2 linked regions of the Sus scrofa genome follow. The protein of the gene in region 1 purifies or fractionates together with the protein of each later gene. This does not show direct contact. Links are inferred from orthologs where the notes say so. Each region holds a gene or a part of one and is shown on either strand. Other genes may lie near its edges.

Region 1 (3,648 bases):
GAAAGAAAAAGGAATTGTTGGTATGATGATGATTTATAAAGGATTTCCCATTTATTTCAGTTATTACTAGTCATCCTTTCTTCCTTGTTAGAGCCATTTGGGTTATAATTATGTACTGTTATATTTCATATTAAAAAGTAATCATTTATAAGGCCCTTTCCAATTTATAAAGAGATTTTACAGTCTCATTCAATTCTCACAACTTCCCTGTGAGGAAAATATTGCTACCACTATTTAGTAAATGAGAAAATTGAGGCTCAAGAGATAGACTTGCTACCACAATTAAAAACTTAAAACAGGGGAGTTCCTGTCATGGCACAGTGGAAACAAATCTGACTAGGAACCATGAGGTTGTGGGTTTGATCCCTGGCCTCACTCAGTGGGTTAAGGACCCAGCATTGCCGTGAGCTCTGGTGTCGGTTGCAGAGTTGGCTTGGATCTAGCGTTGCTGTGGCTGTGGTGTAGGCCAGCGGCTACAGCTCCAATTAGACCCCTAGCCTGGGAACCTCCATATGCCGCAGGTTTGGCCCTAAAAAAAAGGACAAAAAGACAAAACAAACAAACAAACAAAACCCTTACAACAGGGAGTTCCTGTTGTGGCGCAGCAGAAATGAATATGACTATAGAGATCATGAGGTTGGGGGTTCGATCCCTGGGCTCAATCAGTGGGTTAAGGATCCAGTGTTGCCATGAGCTGTGGTATAGGTTGCAGACGCAGCTCACATCTGGTGTGGCTGTGGCTGTGGCTGTGGTTGTAGCCAGCAGCTGTAATTTTGATTCAGTCCCAGCCTGGGAATCTCCACATGCCTCGAATAAAGCAAAACAAAAAGCAAAACAAAACAAAACAAAACAAAAAAAGCAAAACAAAAAAAACAAATACAAAACCTCAAAACAGGAGTTCCTGTCCTGGCTCAGTGGAAATGAATCTGACCAATATCCATGAGGACGCAGTTTCCATCCCTGGTCTCACTCAGTGGGTTAAGGATCTGGCATTGCCATGAGCTGTGGTGTAGGTTGAAGATGTGGCTCTGGCGTAGGCCAGTGGGAGACCCCTAGCCTGGGAACTTCCATATGCTGTGGGTGCAGCCCTATAAAGACCAAAAAAAAACCCACCTAAAACAACCTTTTTCTTTCTTTCTTCCTTTTTTTTTTTTTGTGGGGGCTGAACCCGTGCTGCTGTTGCAACCTGTGCCACAACTGTGGCAACACCAGATCCTTAACCTGCTCTACCACGAGGGAACTTCCTTGAAACAGTTTTTTATTTTCATTTATTGATTTTTTTGTTTTGTTTTGTTTTTGCTTTCTCGGACTGCATGCAAGGCATATGGAGGTTCCCAGGCTAGGGTACAAATTGGAACTACAGCTGCTGGCCTATGCCAGAGGCACAGCAATGCGGGATCTGAGCCAAGTCTGGGACCTACACCACAGCTCATGGCAACGCTGGATCCTTAACCCACTGAGTGAGTCCGGGGATCAAACCTGCAACCTCATGGTTCCTAGTCAGATTCGTTTCTGCTGTGCCACGAGGGGAACTCCTCCTTTGATAATCTCACTTGTTTAACCAGATTGTAAATTTCTTGAGGCCTGAATCTAACTAGCAGTTTCTTTTTACCAGGTGCAGGCAGGGTAGCTCAACGCTGAGTGAAGGTGGCAGCGGTCAAGAATAACATGCTTTTTTCCCCCTGTGTGCTCTAGCGCCCTCACAAGGCCAATGCTGAGGAGATGACCAAGTACCACAGTGATGACTACATTAAATTCCTGCGCTCCATCCGCCCAGATAACATGTCTGAGTACAGCAAGCAAATGCAGAGATGTAAGTCCGTTCCGTTCCCTCCCTGCTCTCAAGCCTGCAGGTGGATTTCCTTTTCAGTCAGAGAGGCTTACCTGACCTTCCCTTGTACCCCCCATTTAGCTGGTACCTGATTTCCACGGCTTCCTAAGGGTGCCAGAGCGCTTCTTTTTTCTCACGTCTGGTTTTCTTTGTTTTCTGATTATAAGGAAGAGATTGAACTTTGTCCATTTAGGGTCACTAACACTGTCCCCCCAAAACTGTAATTATTGTAATGGAGAAAGCACCCACTTGGGAGGTAAACACAGGCGATGTAGGTCCCAGCTCTGACTTCCCCTCAGATTTTTCTTTTGTAAAATGGGCTGGAGGTCATTCCATTCAATTGCTCTCACTTTGTTAGTATTAGGACAGACTCTAGATGATATAATCTTTGATTCTGCCCCTGCCCCCTGGGCCTTGAAACTCAGAGCAGGTCTCATCACAGAAGCCTAACTCAGTTTAGAGCAATTATGGGGATTATTTTAGCTGTAGGGGTAGAATATGTTCAAATTTGGGAAGAGGAGTTCCTGTCCTGGCTTAGTGGCAACAAATCTGACTAGAATCCGTGAGGACTTGGGTTTGATCCCTGGCCTCACTCAGTAGGGTAAGGCTCCAGCATTGCCCTGAGCTGTGGTGTAGGTCATAGACACGACTCCAATCTGGCATTGCTGTGGCTGTGGTGTAGGCCAGCAACTGCAGTTCCAATTCGCCCCCCAGCCTGGGAACCTCCATATGCCTCAGGTCCGGCCCTAAAAAGACAAAAATAAAATAAATAAATAAAACAGTGTAACAATATTATCCAGAGGTGGTTTTGATTAGTTTATGATAACTTATTCCAAATATCAGCAACTTGGTGGCACTTGTTTTGTTGCTATTGGCCACAAGGTAGTCTGATTCCCAAGGCAGAAAGTTATTTGTTTACAATAAGTATGCAGTGGTAATGACTACAGAACCATAGAAATCTTTTTTGAAGCATTAAGTTTCTTTGCTCCCTACAACTCCAGGAGCTGCTGTCCCATCTAAGTGAGATATTTACTCCCTGAATTGGCAGGGTCTTATTTCCTTCTAGGGTGAGAAATTCCTTTGCTTTAGGGACTTTAGGCCCTAAACTTATATAGGCTAGTGATCAGGCTCCACTCTTAGCAGAGAGGGCTCTCATTAGAGAAGCAGCTTGATACTGAAGCAAGAGAATGAGATTTGGTGTCTTGATTTGAATCCTGCACTACCACTTAGATTTGTGTTCCTGATTAAGCCCCTTAGCCTCTCTGAGCCTTGTCTTTCCTGCTGTGGCACAGCAGGATTGGCGATGTCTCGGGAATGCTGGGACGCAGGTTTGATCCCCTCCTGGCACAATGGGTTAAGGATCCGGCGTTGCCACAGCTATAGCATAGGTCGCAACTATGGCTCAGATCTGATCCCTGGCCTGGGAACTCTGTACACCTCAGGGTGGCTAAAAAAGAAAAAAAAAAAGTCAAGGGAGTTCTTTTATGACTCAGTGAGTTAAGGATCCAGTGTTGTCCCTGCTGTGGTATGGGTTCCATCCTTGGCCTGGAAACTTCCACATCCCACAGGGGTGGCTCAAAAATAAATAAAAATAAAAGGAAGACAGGAGTGCCTATTGCATAATGGAGGTTGAGGGGATACGTAAGATAATATATTTAAAACACCAACTGTCAGTGAATAGTAGCTTTTGCTCTTATGACTTACTGCTTTTGTTATTTTCAGTCTGTCAAGGCAGACGACATATTAGGCCCTCAGGAGTGCACAGGTTGGCTCTGGCTCCTGGTTTGCTCTAGTTTTCCTCAAACCAGCATTCTAAA
Region 2 (3,748 bases), on another chromosome or scaffold:
CCCTGGATGGAAAGGAGCCAGTGAGGCAGGAGGGATCATAGTTTAGGAGGTGGCTGGATGGCTGAAAGATCCAGGATGCCTCCAGAGGAATGGGCATGCTGGAGTGAGCAGTGATGTCCGTCTCTGGCCTGGGAACCTCATCAAACTTTGCTGACCTATTTCTCCCTCCACAGGCTTGTGAGTTGCACGTGGCAGGATTCGATTTTGAGGTGCTGAACGAAGGTTTCCTGGTTCATAAAGGCTTCAAAGAAGCTTTGAAATTCCACCCCCAAAAGGAGGCCGAAAATCAGCACAATAAGATCCTTTACCGTCAGTTCAAGCAGGAGTTGAAGGCCAAGTACCCCGACTCCCCACGTCACTGCTGAGCCCTTCCTTCCCCTAGTCTGAGAAGTCTCAGCCTCCTCCCTCCTTAGGCCGCCCCTCAGGCCTGACTGGGGTAAGAAACGTCACTCCACTTTACAGTGGTAGCTGTGGTGTTTGAACACTGGACTTGAATATGGGGTGCTGGGATCAAGTCCTAGCTTAACCACTAACTAGCTGTGTGGCCTTGAGCAAATCCCGTTCTCTCTCTGAGCCTCAGTTACCCCGTCTGTAAAAGGGAGGTGAGAATACCTACCTCACAGAACTGCTGGGAGGCTCAGATGAGATGCTATATGTGAAAACATTCTGTAAGCTTCGTACAAATGTGAAGTATTATTAATATTATTACAGTATTATTATTGTTGTTATTATTATTGTTATTATTATTAACAATCTTGGGTGGGTGAGCAGTAGGAGAGCAAAAAGTATGAATGGGGGCAGAGCTGAGAAGTCTGAGTAGTTAACAAAATGGGCTTTTTGGAAAGAAATCAGATGAAGGCGTTGAATTTAGTTCTTAGCTTTTGGGCAGAAGCCGAAACTTCCTGGTGTCTTAGGCCTCCGTCCCGGGGGCTCTAGAGAAGGGAAGGATCTGCAGGTTCTGTGCGTCTGAGATCTGTACCCTTGAATAGCCTGGGCTGGGTGATTTGCCTACCGACTACAATGTGTAAATAAATGAGTGTTCACACCTACAGCTGGCTCCATTACTCTCCGGAACCGGGCGGGGGTGGGGGCCGCGGGTCGCAGGTTCTCCCCTTTCGCGCCGCCGGGAGGTGACTGTGGACCCAGACGCGAGGGCTGCAAAGCTAGGAAGGCACAAGGGCCTTTCCTGCATGCTGAAAGCCTGTGTGAATGTCGGTCCGTTGCCATGGAAACCGTCCCGCGGTATCCCAGCATGCCTCGCCCCAGCTATCCAATTGTGAGCACTCCGATGGGCGCCTCCTGATGACGCATGCGGAAAGCGCGGGTAGGCCCCGCCCCCGGAGAAGAGGGACCGGTGCGGCGCTTCCGGGACCCCCACAGCGGCAGCCAGTACCGATAACCTCCGGCACCTCTTGGGGAATCTAAGACGTGAGGCTGGAAGCGCCACTACCTACGGGTGCGTAACGCCAACCCTGGCGCCTGGTTTGCCCTTTCGGACAGGCAGTCGGAGCCTGCCCAATATCCAGGGCGGTAGCGAGACTTAACCGCCCGGACGCGAGCTGGGGCCGCGGGACCGAGGAGCCAGTGACTCTCCCGCCCGCTCCGCCGCGTACGGAGATGGAGCGGGGCGCGAGGCTCTGGGTGCGCCGTGGAGGGACTGGGTCGGCTTCTTCGAGGGTGGGGAAGAATCTTCCTTCCTACGAGGCGTGCCCTTGACATGCTCGCTTTCTGAAAAGATAAATTGCATGTGCACAGCACCTTATAGTTTGCTTTTCGATCCCTTACCTCTTGCCATCTTTACAACACCCAGAGTAGTGATGGTTATCCTCATTTTGTACCCGGGCTAAAGTGGGGAGGATGTGATTTAATTTGGCTCTCTCAGTAGACCCAGAGACTGGTGGAGAGAGACCTCCCCCCAAGCCCCGCCCTCTCTGGTCCAGAAAGGTGGGACTTACCCCGAGTTGTTAAAATATATTTAACAGTGAAGAGAAATTGCAAAGTTTGGGAACTCCAGGAACTGAGGCTTGAAAAAGGGAAAGAGGAGGCTGATTTGGAGAACCGAGGTTTTCAGCTCAGGTTCAGATCATTTGTGAAATCCTTGAGGAATGCTTTGAAACGGCCCTCTAGGCCAGTCAGTTTACTCAAACTGATGTCAAGGAAAGGTGACAAAACACTTTGGGTTTGCTACCACTGTAGGGACCAGGGGCTACTAAGAAAGCCATTTCCTGCCCTGCAAAAATGTGTTTTGTTTAATTTGCATTCGCAAATCCTCCAGTGGTCTAGTGAGTCAGTACTGCGCGGGGTGGGTAAAGCGCGTGTGCAGCCCTGCCCTGGGGAGGCTCACAGACAGGCATGAGGATGGGCAACAGACGTGGAAATAAATAAGGAGGGGCATCTACGCGGATCTGAAGGACTACAAAGTACCCAGAGGAAAACATCCGGTGAAGTAGAAACCCCTTTAGTCAGAAATGATCTATTGAGACTGTTTAGTCTTCCTCTTGGGCGATCTTTTGGCAGCATTTGGCACTGTCTCATCTCCTTCATTCTGAAATTCTCTCTCTCCCCCTATACTCTGACTTTTTCCTCCTCTGTCTCTTGCTAATTTCCTTCTCCTTTCCTGGCATCTTGTCATCTGCCCCTTTGATGACCCTAGAAGTTCCATCATGAACTCCTTCTCACTCCACACATTCTGCCTTGCTGGTTGCACCCTCTCCCAAGGCCTGAAGAACTCACGATGTGATGACCAGATCTCTGCAGCCCACATTTCTCTGTGAGGCTTAGACCCATGGACCCCCAGCCCTGCCCCCTTCTCTCCTCTTGGGGTGTTTGCACCTGCTACTCACTCTACTTAGAATGCACCCTCTCTTGACCAGCTCAGCTCATCTGTCTGGCCCATCTTCCTCTGCAGGCCCTCACTGCTGCAGCAGGCTCCAGGTCCCAGTTAGATGCCTCTCCCGTAAGCCCCTGGTCTTAACTCTTCTCACCCCACAGCAACAGTCTGTTTCTTAGCCTTTCTGTCCCAGGAACTTGTAAACTCCTTGAGGTCAGAGACTGTCGCACCTGTGCCCAGCTCCTACCATAGTGTCTGCTGCTACCTAGCATGTATTAGATCTTCAGTAAATATTAAATGAGTGACTAAAAGAAGGAATGCTTAAGACTGTTCAGTTTGCTGAGAAGTCAACCTAAGATAAGCACCAAAAAATACTGGCATTAGGTACGAGGAGTTCGTCAGTTAACTCTACAGGATGGGCTTCAGCTGAGAGTGATGATACAGGAACAGAACAAGTGGGAGGTGGGCGAGTAGGAATAGCAAGTGTCCACAAGGCCTTGAAAAGTAGCCATGAGGTGGAAAACGGCGAGCAGTGGGGTGGGGTGAGGTTTTGTGTTTCTGCTTTCTCTCTCTGGTGGTAGATACCTGAGCACGTCTGACGTTCTCTGGGAGGAGCTGTCAGGAGCGAGAGTTGAAGATGCATAAGGGAGAGGGCAGCACTGAGGACATGAGATCATGAAGGAAGCAGGAGATAGGATTTGAGCCCAGTGAGAACACAAGCATCGTAGAGTGTTCTCAGGAAGAGAAGTGGAGGGCGGTGTAGGCAGAAGAATAGCACAGGAGTTCCCGTCGTGGCGCAGCAGAAAGGAATCTGACTGGGAACCATGAGGTTTCGGGTTCAATCCCTGGTCTCGCTCAGTGGGTTAAGGATCCAGCATTGCCGTGAGCTGTGGTGTAGGTCGCAGACGCAGCTTGGAT

The links. Proteins that work in one complex are often made in the same cells at the same time.
Region 2: the proteins of HDAC1 (region 1) and BRMS1 purify together in Homo sapiens (affinity purification with mass spectrometry; 7 studies listed by BioGRID and IntAct, counting the BioPlex papers as one, with this or other methods). This does not show direct contact. The link is inferred for Sus scrofa from reciprocal best matches to the Homo sapiens genes HDAC1 and BRMS1.

The regions. Positions count from the first base shown.
Region 1 is NC_010448.4:88,766,544-88,770,191, forward strand, and holds part of HDAC1 (histone deacetylase 1), read left to right. Parts: intron 1-1,695; coding exon 1,696-1,813; intron 1,814-3,648. UniProt on the Homo sapiens protein: Histone deacetylase that catalyzes the deacetylation of lysine residues on the N-terminal part of the core histones (H2A, H2B, H3 and H4).
Region 2 is NC_010444.4:6,044,772-6,048,519, forward strand, and holds the start of BRMS1 (breast cancer metastasis-suppressor 1), read left to right. Parts: upstream 1-1,305; 5' UTR 1,306-1,456; intron 1,457-3,748. UniProt on the Homo sapiens protein: Transcriptional repressor. Down-regulates transcription activation by NF-kappa-B by promoting the deacetylation of RELA at 'Lys-310'. Promotes HDAC1 binding to promoter regions.